Lonchura striata: one gene and its partner. Each later gene encodes a partner of the first gene's protein in a complex. Links are inferred from orthologs where the notes say so. Each region holds a gene or a part of one and is shown in the gene's direction. Other genes may lie near its edges.

The links. Proteins that work in one complex are often made in the same cells at the same time.
Region 2: HDAC3 (region 1) and NKAP share a complex: the UniProt entries of both Homo sapiens proteins name them as parts of the notch corepressor complex. The link is inferred for Lonchura striata from reciprocal best matches to the Homo sapiens genes HDAC3 and NKAP.

Annotation. Positions count from the first base shown.
Region 1 is NC_134617.1:15,751,960-15,758,840, reverse strand, and holds the start of HDAC3 (histone deacetylase 3), read left to right. Parts: upstream 1-3,877; 5' UTR 3,878-3,943; coding exon 3,944-3,998; intron 3,999-4,251; exon of another isoform or gene 4,252-4,286; intron 4,287-4,329; coding exon 4,330-4,412; intron 4,413-6,881. UniProt on the Homo sapiens protein: Histone deacetylase that catalyzes the deacetylation of lysine residues on the N-terminal part of the core histones (H2A, H2B, H3 and H4), and some other non-histone substrates.
Region 2 is NC_134616.1:9,031,639-9,039,325, reverse strand, and holds the start of NKAP (NF-kappa-B-activating protein), read left to right. Parts: upstream 1-4,677; coding exon 4,678-4,913; intron 4,914-5,257; coding exon 5,258-5,338; intron 5,339-5,718; coding exon 5,719-5,792; intron 5,793-6,005; coding exon 6,006-6,125; intron 6,126-6,866; coding exon 6,867-6,912; intron 6,913-7,299; coding exon 7,300-7,415; intron 7,416-7,564; coding exon 7,565-7,640; intron 7,641-7,687. Other genes in the region: ZBTB33 (transcriptional regulator Kaiso), read right to left, coding at 4,467-4,491. UniProt on the Homo sapiens protein: Acts as a transcriptional repressor. Plays a role as a transcriptional corepressor of the Notch-mediated signaling required for T-cell development. Also involved in the TNF and IL-1 induced NF-kappa-B activation.

The DNA of each region.
Region 1 (6,881 bases):
ACATGGGGCAAAGCCCCACACCAAGGCAGGGAGGTGCAGCTGTGGCTGGGGCCTGCCTGCTCATGGCTCATCCAGTCTGGGCTCTGCATCCTCTGTCCCTCCTGACCCCATCCCCGCTCCTCTGCCATCCTGTGTGACCCCACCAGCCGAGGCAGTGGGTCTGAGACACAGGACAATCTGACTGGAGCTCTGGGATAGGCAGCTGCCTTCTTTCTGCCTGCTCACCTCATCCAGCAGCACCAGCTGGAGGAGGAGGTTACATGGTCCAGAACGTGGCACGGTGCTGGTGAGTCCCCTCTGCCTGCCCGGGGCACTGCTTGGGCACTTCTGTGGGAGTTGTCCCTGCATTTCCCATGTCCTGAGCTCCTCTCTTCCCGTGTTTTCAGGACTTATGAAACGTCCTTGCTCGTGGATGAACCAATTAGTGATGAGCTCCCATACAGTGGTAAGTTGGAGTTGCCTTTTTTCCTCATGAACTCAGCTGAAATTTTTGGCATGTTTTATTCTGCATTGACCAGGGCCAACATATCAGCACTTCTTGACCTTGGAGATGGCCTTAGCCATGCCTGGAAGTGTCCAAGGCCAGGTTGGATGGGGTTTGGTCTAGTGGAAGGTGTCCCTGCCCATGACAATGGGTTGGAATGAGATGAGATTTAAGGTCCTTTCCAATCCAAACCATCCCTTGCCCTTCCTTCCCAGGTCCCCCCCTTGGGGCTTCCCTGAATCCTGGAAGTCCTTGGAGGCTTTACTCCCTCTCTAGGCATTGCCTGGAAACACTGAAATTTTAAGCTTTGGAGGCTTGGGAGGAAGGGGACAGAGTGGCTGAGGAGAAGCTGGTGGGACAGTGCTGTCACCTGTCACCCTGTCCCTCAGCTGGCCCCAGCCCCAGTGAAATTCCACATTACCTCTTGTCTGCTCTTTTCCCGCACCTCTTCCGCAGCCGTTGGAGCAAATGTCACCCCACAAACAATGTGACCACGTCCTTTTGGGGGATCAGCTACTCTGGCCCCGCTGCTTGTCCATGTGGCAGCTAAACGGGCTGGAGTGCCCAGATCCAGGCTCATCTTGGGATCTTCACTTCAGTGCTCAGCCCAAAAATTGTCCTGACGTCTGCAAAGCTGCTCCATGCCATCGTGTCAAACATGTCCCTGAATCCTCAGCCTTGCTCCAGCTTTCCAAACATGCCCAGCAGCTAATGGCCGTTAAACCACAGCCTGCTTCTGCTCTCTGAGCACAAAGAGCATCTAAAAATATCCCTCTCCAACGCTTCCCTTGCTCTGCTCCAACACCCGTGAAGATGCCCGGAACAGCACCCGGCTTCCAGAAGGAGAGCTCAGGCAGCAGAGTGATCCCAGCTGGAAGCAGGGCCGTGTCTCTGCTGTCCTCGAGCAGGGATGTGTCTCTGCTCTCCTCAAGCAGGGATGTGTCTCTGCTGTCCTCGAGCAGGGATGTGTCTCTGCTCTCCTCGGGCAGGGATGTGTCTCTGCTCTCCTCGAGCAGGGATGTGTCTCTGCTCTCTCACCCCGTCCCCAGGCGGGCACTGGGACGTGCTCCCCGGTGGCTCCGTGTCCCCAGCCAGGCGTTATCTGGTGGCAGCAGCTGGTGGAGCAGGGACAGGACAGTCGTCATGGGGAGCACCGTCAGAGCTTTGGGAGCTCCCAGCTCAGCCGTGCTGCTCAGCACGTTGAAATCCGGGTGATTTCCTGCAGCAATGTATCTGAACTGAGGCCTCAGCGTGCACCGGCCACCCAGCTTGTAACTGTTCTCACCAGAGTTTTCTCAGAACCCGCCAGAATCCATCAAGCTTACTAAGACAGAAACTGTGCTAAATAAGAAAGAAGAAGCTGAGAAACAGAATTCCAAATAACAGCAGCAAAGCACCTGGACTGTGATCAGTCCCAGATTCTGAGAGGTGCAGGCAGAACACGTGGACAAGACAAAAGAACCGATAAGAAATGTGTGACCAGTGTGTGCAGTGGAGTTAGAATATATAAATAAGTGCATAATAGAAACAACAAACAGCTTCTGCTTAATCACACTGGTCAGTTGTCCAGGAGTGCTGAATTTCCCACGCTGGGTGCTGGGCTCGGTGCCAGGTGCTCTCTCTGAGTGTCCCCAGGTACAGCTGTGCCCTGCGGGGTCACAGCGAGAGGTCCTGGGTCTCCTCTGGAAGTGTCCTGCCCCTGGCAGGGGATTGGAATGAAATGATCCTTAAGGTCCCTTCCAATCCTATCCCCTAAACCATCCTGTGATCCTTGCCCCATGCTGGAGCTGGGATCCTGAAAGGAAACCAGCCAAGGAGCGATGTGGAGGGAGCAGTGTCCCCGCAGGGGGGGCAGAGGCAGCCAGAGCTATCCTTCAGTGACCCCACCACTCCATCCCACCCTGACTCCTGCAGCCAGCACAGCCCCAGAACCCCCGGCCATCCCGCCATGCCCCATCCCATACAGGCGGGCAGCTCCTCTTGCTGCTTCCAAGGGGTTGCCATCCCCTGGAAATCCCAGCCTGGCATCCACTGAGATGCCAGGGAATGCCCTGGTGCCCATCCTCAGGCAGCTCTGGGGGTCCTGCCCGTCTCTGAGACCCGCTGGGTTGAGGAGCCTGTCTCCAGCACAGCTTCCCTCATCCCAAACTGCAGGAAGCCTCAGGCAGGAGGCTGGCAGGACCAAGCATGGATTTTGCCTTGGATTTCCAAGCCTTTGAACAAGGCTTCATGCTCTGTCTGTCCTTCCTCCTCTCCAGCCCCCATGGAGCAGGTTTGTGCTGCCGTTCCCAGCCAGCCCTGCTCACGCCATGCTCCTGTTTCCATCCTTTGTCAGCTCCAGCTTTCCCCATTCTGCTTCCTCCTGACATCCAGCAATTTCCCACCCAGCTTTTGTCCTTCTCCTGCCTGGCGCTGCCTCCAAAGGGTTCTTGCCAAAGGTCTGGAGAGCCTGCACCCCCCAGGGTGGCACCTGGTGACAGCTGGCAGGAGCAGGTCCCCATCCTTCAGGGACTGGAATGGAACGAGTCCCATCAGGGCGTGAGTGTCCCATGGAAACCCCCCTGCCCATCCCCTGTGCCCCGGGAGTGGGGACTGGGGTGAAAGGGGGGCCTGGGAATGACTGGGAGTGACTGGGAGTGACTGGGGGCCAGCTGTGGGCCTGGAGAAAAGAATCCTGTGGGCAACTGGGATCTGCCAGGGGTAACTGGGAGCAGCTAGCAGTAACTGGGATCTGCCTGGGGGGTAACTGGGAGCACTGGCAGTAACTGGGATCTGCCGGGGGGTAACTGGGAGCACTGGCAGTAACTGGGATCTGCCAGGGGTAACTGGGAGCAGCTAGCAGTAACTGGGATCTGCCGGGGAGGTAACTGGGAGCAGCTAGCAGTAACTGGGATCTGCCGGGAGGGTAATTGGGAGCACTGGCAGTAACTGGGATGTGCTGGGGGGGTAACTGGGAGCAGCTAGCAGTAACTGGGATCTGCCGGGGGGGGGTAACTGGGAGCACTGGCAGTAACCGTGATCTGCTGGGGGGGGTAACTGGGAGCACTTGCCAGTAACTGAGGGTAACTGGCAGTAGGAGAGGGGCATGAGGGATAACGGTGGGAGCTGAGGATGAGCAGGGAGATGACACGGGGTTACCGGAGAGAGCCCAGCCGGTAACTGGGACAAGCGGGGGCAGGCGCGGGGCAGGCAGGCGAGCCTGCGATGTGTCCTGCGGGCAGCTGGGCCGATGGGGGCGGTGTGCGGGCGGCAGGGAGCAGCGGGGCCAGCCCGGGGCGCTGGCGGTGACCAGGACCGGTCGGGCGGAGCGGCGGCGGCACCGGGGCCGCGGCGGCCACGCCCCGGTGAGGCCATGCCCCTTGTGGGCGTGTCCCTGTAGTGGCCCCGCCCCATCCCCGGGCGGCTGTCGCGGGGAGATGACGTAAGCAGGAGCGCGGCGCGCGGCGCGGCCTGTCCGCCATGGCGAAGACCGTGGCCTATTTCTACGACCCGGACGTGGGGAACTTCCACTACGGTGCGAGTGGGGCCGGGGCAGCGCCGGGGCGGAGCGGCGGAGCGGCCGCCGCGCGGCTGGGGCTGGGCGGAGCCGGCTGGAGGCGGGGGTGTGGCGCGGCCCGGTCGCCGCTGTCCCTCAGCGCCACTGTCTCCCAGCCCCTCAGCCCCGCTGTCCCCCAGCCCCGCTGTCCCCCAGCCCCGCTGTCCCCCAGCCCCGCTGTGCCCCAGCCCCGCTGTGCCCCAGCCCCGCTCCCCTCTCCCCCCAACCGGACCTGTGCGCAGCGCGGTGCCGGTGCCCGGCGGCGGCGGGGCCGTTGTGGCGCCGCTGATCCCGCGCGGTTCCGTTGCAGGCGCGGGGCACCCCATGAAGCCGCACCGCCTGGCGCTCACGCACAGCCTGGTGCTGCACTACGGCCTCTACAAGAAAATGATCGTAAGCCACGCGTGTCCCAACCGGGCGGGGTGGGGGCGGCGGGGCACCAAGGAGGGCTCCACACCGAGCCCCCGGGGCTGCTTGGGGCCCCACGGGTGGGTGACAGGTTCAGCGATGTTGTAGAGATTTGGGGGGTATCACGGGTGGGTGATGTGATCACTGATGTTGTAGAGATTTGGATCCTCACGGGTGGATGATGTGTTCACTGATGTTGCAGAAGTTTGGATCCCCACGGGTGGGTGATGTAGAGATTTTGGGCCCCACGGGTGGGTGACGTGTTCACTGATGTTGCAGAGGTTTGGATCCCCACGGGTGGGTGATGTGTGATTTATTTAAAAAATATGGATATTGATCTAGCACAGATATCCAACTGTGACGGATAAAATCTCTCTAACAGTTTAAAGTTAGAAAATGTGTGTTTATTCAATGCCGGGCAGCATGAGGGATTGCTCCCAAATCCACACCTCCCCTTCCAAGTGATTACAGAGCCCTGTTATCCATACAAGTATTGAATACCCAAAATACAAATACATGTTCATCATGTCAGTACATCCCATTCCTCACTTCCTATGCTAATAATTTCAAAAGCCATTCAGCATGCCTACTTTGTCCCTTGAAATGGGTCGGTGTCCCTTTCATGGGGAGGGGTCCCAAAATGAGGAAGTCAATGAAGTCTTCCTCATTGTGACCTTTCTACCTTTTCAATGCAAATATGACAAATGAACTGTTGGTAGAACTCCCATTCCTTGTCTTCAGTTAGTTTTGGAACAGAGGAGGCCCACAATTGTCTTATGTTCCTAAAAGCTCTTTGTCAGTTTGTGTATTCTTCATTATAAACCCAGCTAACTAAACATTGTGCTGACAAACAATCAATTATTAGTTAACTACTAACTCCTAACTTCATCAAGGCCTACTCATTTATTTTATTTATTTTAATTAACTCTAGTAAGGCTTATCTCTAACTCAAATCTTAGCTCCTCTAAAATCTCTAAATTCGTTAAAATTTACGTTTCATGTGTTCAGTGATGTTGCAGAGCTTTGGGCCCCACGGGTGGGTGACAGCTTCACGATGGTTTTACACCTCAGTCCTGTGCTGTTGGTGCAGCTGTAGAGGATTCCAAGGAGCTGCTGAGGTCAGGCATCTGTAGAGATGCAATCTATGAAAACAATTTTAGGTGTTTAGACATGACAAAAATTTCCTTAATTAATACAATTCCCAAATAAAACCACATCCAGGGCAGTGACTGTGTGGAAATGCAGCACTTGGAAAGACTGTGGGGAGTCTTCGCAAAGTTTCTTTTCTAGATCTGTACTGTCACTGTGTGGATTTCCACAAGTAACTTCCCCAGAGTTTTTTTAATTATTATTATTTCCACAAGAAACTTCCCCAGGCTTTTCCTTGCAGGAACAACCAAAAAACATGTTCTGACCTAACACTTTTAAATGGCAAATCCCTTCCTGAAGGAGGCAGTGGGCAGAGCTCTTTTACATTTTCAGTCTTGAAATTCTTTTTCTGAGGGGTTTTGTTTTCCACAAGCTGCACTGGGAAGCTGAAAACTTCATCCCCAAACAGTCAGGGACTGGCAAAGTCAGGAGCAAATAAAAGCAGGGGTTTGGAGCATTGGGACTGGGAAATTCCTGCTGATTTTGTGCTGTGGTTGCATTGTTTCTGCCTCCTTACAACCAAAGCTTGTGATCCTGTTGGGCTGGGTTTGCCTCTTCCCACCTTCCCCAGCTCGGGAACGTGGCTGGGATTGCTGGGAAGGCTGCAAGGAGCCAGCTTTGTTCTGCCAGCAGCTGGGTGAACATTCCAGCCTGGTTTTCCCCTCCCTTTCTGTTTGATCCCCACATCCCTACTCTGAGAGCCTCTGGCTGCGCAGTGAGAGCCATTTCTCCTCTCCTTGCCATCAGTTTTGGTCTGGTTTGGTTTAATGAACTTCAGGATTCCTGGGGGATCCCTGGGAATAAGGAGTTGCCTCATCCTCTGTTTGAGTTGTCAGAGGCAGCAGACCTCTGAGGAACACCAAATTCCACATGGAAAGCACCAGGAGAGGAGGAGATGGGATTGTTCTGGTTTATTGTGGCTCTGAAAAGGACCAGGTTTTCTGCTCAGCACAGAAAGCAGGAGCATGGTGCAGTTGTCCTGAGGAATTTCCCTTTGGAGACCAGCTCGTGCATCTTCTGTTGTGTTCATGTTCCACTTTTTCTGTCAAGTGCTTGCTTAAAATAAGAGAAATTAAAATAATAAGAGTAATCACAGAAAATCTCTTTTATCAATTGAATTGATAAGAGATGGTGGTGTTAATTTTTAACTTCCCCTCTACTGAGAGATGTGCCCTAAGTGCCAAAACTGTGTTGTCACAAGATCCTGGATTTGAGTCCATCCACCTCCCTGACCATTCCCCCCATTTTTCTTTCCAAAGGAAACAAAACTTATGCAGCTCTTCCATCTGTCTGGGAGGTTTCCCC
Region 2 (7,687 bases), on another chromosome or scaffold:
TTTAATTATAAAACCAAGAAAATGTAAGTTTTGGGTCCCAAAAACAGCTTTAAACATTATTAGTAATTTATTTTTAATTGTGAAATATTCCATAGGTTGTTATGAGAAAGCCAAATATCATGAAGTTATTTATGGCCAGACACCAGAATCTGTGTGTCGACGTATTACCAATCAACTGAGTTAATGAAAACGCTATGGATAGTGCACTTACTTCCCCAGAAAAATAAACTTTTTTTAACCCCATGTCACATATTTGCAAGGCTTTGTATTTCAAACCGAGACTCGGAAGCAGCACCGTAGCGAAGCAGACCTGCTAAGTCAAAGTAACCTATCCGTCAGCACTGCCCATTCAAAGCCCCCCAATAACCGGAAAAAAGCAACATCCAAATGCAGTACAGCGAGTCACGGGCTCTAATTTTACCCGTAAAACTTATTTCCGCAGGCCAGGCCGGGCCGGGCCGGGCCGGGCCGGATGAGACGCCGCGGCCGGAGTCGCGGCCGGATGAGTCCCAGCCCGGGGGCGCGTCCTGGCCGGCTCCCCCCGACCCCGGGCCCGGCCGTGAGAACCGCGCTGCGGGCGGGGCCGCCGAGGCAGCAGCGGCCGGTCCGCGGCCGGAGGCCGAGCGGGAGCGGCGCGCTGACAGCGGCGGGCCCGGGAGCGGCCTGGCAGCACCGGGCCCGGGCTGGCGGGCGGCCCCGCCGCCGCCGCCGCCGGCGGAGCCGTGCCGAGCCCCCGGCCGGGCGGGAGGGCAGCCGAGCCGCCGAGCCCGCGCTCCCCGCGTTACCTGCGCCGCGCTCCGGCCCCGCGCCCGCCGCGCCGCGCCGCCGCCGGGGGGCGCTGCCGGCGCTGCCCTCGGCTCTGACCCGAGCGGCCTCGGGAACCTTCGCCGGGGCGGGGCCGGGCCGCTCCCGCCGCGCCGCCCCGCCCCGCCCCGCGCCGCCGGCGGCCCCGGGGCCGCGGCTCGGACACACCGCCCGCGTCGCGCCCCGAGGAGCGAGGCCCTGACCCTGCCTCGGCGCAGGCCGGCCCTGCTGCGGCCCTGGCAGCTCCCGGCCGGCTCCCCGCGCTCCGTTCCCGGGCGGAGGCGGCAGCGAGCCCCGGCGCTGCCTCACGGCCGAGCGCGGGATGAGGCCGTGCGGACGCTGTTTGCCGCTGGGTCTCGTTTCCTTCCCGGGGCCATTGGCGCTGCTCTGCCAACGCTGACGCAGCCGGCACCTCCGCCCAGCACCGAGCGGAGCTCAAACCCACACCTGAGCACCCTTGCTGCTGCTGCGGGAGCATTTCTTTGGAATTCTTTGCGCCACAGGCACACGTGTTAGACTCTGCCAGCAGCCGCACGGACATGTACGGCTTTGGCACAGAGTGCCTTTGACCAAATGCGACTCTCGGCACATTAGCCGTGTGGCCACTGGAGTGACACATCCACAGCACGGCCTCTGGGAAGCTGTTGCTGTTCAGGAATGCTCGAAGAACACCGAGATCATAAAAGATACTTTTTATCTGTGGTTACTCGTCTGTTCCTTTTTTTTCCCCTCTATGCATTCTGTGGACTTGAACCACAGGGGCTCCTGATTTTCCTTAAGATTTAAAAACTTTGACAAGAACGAATGTCCTGTCAAGTTCGATGACAAACGTAACAGGCCACAGTCACTGGCAGACATGACTGCAATCCTTCACCTTGTAAATCAGCAATGAAATGGTCCTGCCAGGTTTATGAACAAGAAACAAATAACAATTTCTTCTAGCAAGAATAATCTTTCTTCTAGCAAGAAAATCACCTGCCAGGCTCCTTGTATCTGTATAGCTAGTAACACAAATGCCTTTCTGAATTGAGGCTTCAGATTTTAAATGTTACAAAACCAGTTTCTGTTTATTTATAGGTTTTACTAGAGAGTCAATTGCATGAGGATAAATATTAGAAAACACTCATCAGGAAAAACATAGGCTTTTCTTCCTCACATGATCCTTCAATTCTTTTCTCCTTTGATAGAGGTTCTTCGTAATTTTTACCCATGAGGCTATATTAAATGAAAATAATACTATAATTGTTTAAATACTTAATCCAGTGCTTTTTTTCTCCTCCAAAAATGTGTGATGGCCCAAATTAAACAATTTTTTAGCCTTGCATCCTCCAGCTTTAAGGATTTCTATTCTCAATACCTCATCCAATACTAAATAGCTAGCAGGAAAATTTACAGCCACAGATGAGCACTTGGAAGGATTCCTGCTCCTAAGGCATCACCAGATCTCAAAAATCAGGTTTAAACCACTTATTCTTAGGCACTGAAATGCTGCCTGATTTAAAAGCTGCTGGGAGAGCTGCACCATCTCCTTGACTTTTACCTTTCTCACAGCAGCTTTTCTCTATGGCAAGTCCTTCTGTCAGATAAAAAATCTGAACCCCACGGTCACACTGCTGCAGTCAGGACAGAGTTAATGCTCTCCCCAGCTCAGCCAATTTGACTGAAGCTGCCACCATCTTGCTGCACCTAAAAGCTGAATTTCGGTGTGCATTTTTTTTTGTCAGCATGCATCTCCTATTTTAGGGGTTGTTCTTTCCACTTTTATGTTCAGATAAGCGTCGAAAGTGTTTGATGGTTCAAGTCACATAAAGCCTTACAATATCAATAACAATATAAAAGAACCATTTTATCTAAGATAAGAAACATCCAGGATATAGAACTACATGTGGTTGTCTTGGAACTGAAAATGTAAGAGACCCAATAGCAACTTTTATCTTAATGTATAGAAGTGATCAAAAAAACTTTGGGGTGGAGGCTCTGAAAATATGAAGTACAAATTTAAAGAAATTTATGTGCAGGCCTTTACAAGACGACAAAACAGTATGTAATTCAGTAACGAGTTTTCAATTAAGCAACTTGAGAAGCTTTTTTGTTTTTAAAAAATCCACTTTGCGAGAATAGAAAATTCTTTTAAAGAACTGACAAATTTGAAAGACAAAGTAACATTCTCCTTCATGAAAACAAGTATTTTACATTAAAGTAAATTAAATTTTATAAGCAGAACAGTTAAGGGTTTTCAATAAAAATTGAAATTCAATAGTTATCCTACCTAAGAGTACCTTTAAGGACAGAAATATTCTTCACTGTGGGAATTCAAATAAAAAATCACTGCTTCTGAAAGACTCTAAAATACAAATTTTCACTGTTTATGCCTTGAAGGAATCTCTGAGACTATTTCTCCTGCCAATCCCATTATATAAAGCTTCATATATCTGAATTAAGAGTCCAGTAATCTTTTTATTGACATTAGTAGTTGTTGTAGATGCTGTTATGTACCGCATGACATTATGACTTGTTTACAAAAGCACTTCAAGTCACCTAATGGTATTAGGTAACACAAGTGCAGATTGCTCCTGAGGCAGATGTTTTAGGCATCATTTAATCAGATCTAAAATAATCCAAAATTAGTTTGCCGAAATAATCAAAAGAAGGGAGAATATACGCTGTCCTCACACAGACACAGGTGACAGTAGTGGGAATTTCTGGTAAATCTTTTCCCTCCCTCTACTGCACATGGTTCCGTGTACCCAAATAAATACACAGTTTAAATAGGCTTCCTCCATCTTACAGGGTTTTTTAAATGCTGTTTATGGTAGGTTTAGGAGCTAAAATACTGCTCCATTTGTGAAAAAGAGACTGGCATACCCTGACATAATTTCTAGACAGCATAAACCAGCATGGGCTTCCCAGGGTGTAGCAGCTGTCCAAAATGCCCCGTTTACACGGAGCTGGCCAGACCCAGCGATATCGCACTGCATTTCCAGAGCTGAGCAGAAACTCGGGGTTTATTTAAGAAAGCTCCGTGGTAACGTGGTCAAACCTGAGGGGGAAGGGCGCTCACAGAAGAGTGGATGTCTTATCTGAATATATAATTTGTATCATCTTTATGGATAAAGGTTAAGGCTGGGAAAGACTTAAGATCATCAAGTCCAACCTGAACCCAGCGCCAGCACCACGTTCACCATTACACCATGTCCGTAAGTGCCATCTCCACATGGTTTTTTAATATTTCCGGGGACAGTGACTGCACCACTTCGCTGTGCAGCTTATTCCTGTGCTTGATAACCTTTCCCATGAAAATAAAAATCCTAATACGCACCCTAAAGCTGCCCCGACGCAAGCTGGGGCCGTTTCCCCCGTGCTGTCAGTTCTGCCCTGAGCGGCCGCACCGGCAGCGCCGTGTCAGGCCGCGGGGAGGTGCCGGCCCCGAACACGGGGCCGGGCCTCGCCCGGGCCGGGCCGTGCCAGGCGGCGCCGGGCCCGGCCACGAACGGGAGCCCCGCCGGGGCACGCTGAGCTGTCCGCGGGGCAGTGCTGCTCCCGGGCCGCCCTGGACAGCTCCCGGGGCCGCGGCCCCGCGCCGGTGCCCGCGGAGCGGGGCGGAGCCGGGCCCGGGCCGCCACCGCCCCCCGCCCGCGCCCCGCGCCCCGTCCGCGCCTCACCTTCGGCCGCCGTGCGCGCGTCCATCGCTGCCGGGCGGCCGCCGCGGGGCACAAAAGGAGCCGCCGCCGCCGCCGCCGCCGCCGCGTTGCCGGCCGGGCGGGTGGGGCGGTGACCCCGCGGGCGGGGCCGCCCCGCTCCCGCCCCGCTCCCGCCCCGCTCCCGCCCGGCCGGGAGGGCACCGGAAGCGCCGGAAGCGCCTCCGCTTCCGCCATGGCGCCCGCGTCCCGCTCCCGCTCCCCGCCCGCCGCCGGCTCCGAGCGCCGCGGCCGCCGCTCGCGCTCCCGCTCCCGCGAGCGCAATGGCCCCAGGCGCCCGAGCCACCGGCGGAGCCGCAGCCGGTCCCGCAGCCCCGGCGCGCCGCGCTCTTCCGCGCACCACGGGCACCACCACCACGGCAAATGGCCCGAGTACTACGAGAAGGAGAAGGAGGAGATCCTGCGGCAGAGGTGAGCGCCGGCGAGGGGCCGGGGCTGCCCCGCCGGGCCCCGCTCCGCGCGGGAGGGGCGGGTGCCGCGGCCGGGCCCGGTTCTGTACGGTCCCTCACGGGCTCCCCGTGCGTTCCCCGGGGCAGCCGGGACGGAGCTCGGCTGGAACGGGGTGACAGCTGCTACCGCCGAGCCTCTGCGGTGTGCGGAGCTCTGCTGCCTGACTGCCCCTGCCCCTGCTCCTTGCTCCGAGTTGTTTCTTACCCTTCCTGTAGCTGCTTCGGAAACACTAACGCGTAAGACTTAAAATGTTTGTGTGCTGGGTGTTGCAAACTAGGCGTCAGTGTCAGTGTTTTCCTTTACAGGAGACTCAATGAGAGAGAGAGAATTGGAGAACTGGGGGCGCCTGAAGTCTGGGGGCTGTCACCAAAAGTTCCTGACCCAGAGTAAGGCATAGTCTTTCTTCATGTTTTTTATAATATTAATTACATATCAGTTCAGTTTATAAAAATTCTTTATCCCTGCATTAGTCTTGGTGCCACAGTACTTACTGTGTCACTTCCTTTCTGAAGCAGCATAATGAGATTGCTATTTTTTCAACCAAATAATTCCAACATACCAATTATGCAATACATTATTTATTGTAGATCAGGTGATTGTTGTGTTGTGGTTCTGACAGCAGTTCCCAGGCTAAATTATTTTTATAATATCTTTGATATTTTACTCCTTTGCAGGGATTGATTCAAAATGTCTTTGATCATTTGTATACCTTTGATCTTGAGTACAACAAAACAGATTTTAAGTAGCAAACTGTTATTTTATTCAGTTCCGATGAGCACACGCCAGTAGAAGATGAAGAGGCAAAATCTAAGAGTAGTTCTTCGGATTCCAGCTCAGAAGGTATTTTGTCTGGCTTGCACAGCTTTTTCAAAAATGGGAAGCTACTGTGGCTTAGAATCTGCTGCTGCTTGCAGGAGGTTCCCTGGCTTAGATGGGTGGGAGTGGTTGGGGTGGGCTCCAGCCCAAAGGAGAGCATTGCTTTGGGAAGATCAGGGAATACATATGGAACCAAGTGTTCTTTGTTCTCTAATGTTATGTTTAAAAACATTCCAGAGGAAAAGAAGAAAAAGAAGAAGCAAAAACAAAAGAAAAAACGTAAAGCATCCAAAAGAAAGCGCAGGAAACATTCTGAGGACAGCGACAGTGACTCAGAGTCTGAACAGAACTCCAGTGGTAAGACAAGAGGGTCTCAGCTTGCAGTGTAGCCTCAGGAAATTGGATTTCTGAATTTAGCATCCACTGGGCCTCTCATGCCAGAGATCTCTTTGATATGTTCTCATATCGACCAGTACTGCAGGGACCTTTCTCCTAACACTTTCCCAGTATAAACAAGTCCCATCAGGATGTGTACTAGGGCATGCTGGAGGAGGCAGTTAGTGCTGGGAATAGGCTCAGGTTTAGGGTAGTGGTTTGGTTAATTGGTAGGGGTAGTGGTTAGTATAATTCTTAGCAGTAGGGTTAGGGGAGTGGTTAAGCTTAGGGCTGAGAGAGTGAAAGAGCCTATAGCTCCAGGAGTACTGAGACTGGAAAAAGCATGCCAAGGCAATCCCAGCAAGGCCCCAACATTGCTTTTCCTACATCATTCTGACCTGGAAAACCCATATTATTGAGTTTGGGTTAGGGCTAGGGCTTAGGGTTAGGGTTGAGCGAGTCACAGGAACATTGGGACTGGAAAAGGCATTCCAAGGTGATCCCAGCAAAGCCCCAACTGTGCTGCTCCTACATCTTTCTGATCTTGACCACCACCCCTGGTGATGGGGTTAGGCTTAGGGCTAGAGTTGAGAGAGTCAAAGAGCCTACAGCTCTGTGAATACTGGGGATGTAAAAGGTATGCCGTGTTATTCACAGGGCAGTAAACTACTTAGTTATAATTAATAATTTATTTTTGATAATACATACACTTTCTTTTTTCAGATGAAGATAAAAAGAAAAGCAAGAAGAAGAAAAAGAAGAACAAAAAGTAAGTGTTGTGGTTGCTGTATCATTTTGGCTGCTGTTGCCTGGAGGGCAGCTCAGTTTTCTTTGCAGGCCCTCAGGGAGCCTGAGGACCTTAGGTCATTTGCAAGAGCTGGCAAATAATATTATTTTGATAGTTTTTATTTAAATCTACACAATTGTGCAGCATAAACAACTTTCTGTATAGCCACTTTCTAACACTCTATGAAAGTTAAAATAGAACATATATATTGTCTTGGCTTTGGTGTAAAGTGTTTTGTATGAAACAGCGGACAGCATTCTTCCTATAGGTGGAAGTTGCCTTGAGAAACTAATTATTTGAGTATGATTCCAAGCACCTTCTTTAATCTTAAATTTTGATAAATAGCATGTCTGTCTGGCTTTACCACAGGAAGAAGTATAAGAAAAAGAAATCTAAGAAGAGCAGGAGGGAATCCAGTGATTCAAGTAGCGAAGATTCCGATGATGAAATGCTTCAAGGGGATGATCTCTGGATAGAGAGATCAAGTAAGTTCACCTGACTTTAAACTTGGATGGAAACTTCTTGATGTCCTTTTTGTGAATTTGTTGTTAGGTGTTGCTGACCTGTATAACCTTTCTGATAACAAAGAATAATGGATACAAGATTAATCTTCCTCATTATTTGATTGTTGCAGAAAATACTGAAGCTGATAGTTTGATTGGACCAGAGGCTCCCAAAACTCATGCATCTCAGGATGACAGGCCTTTGAAGTGAGTAACCAGCTCTAATGATACTTTGATCAAATAAAGTAAATCAA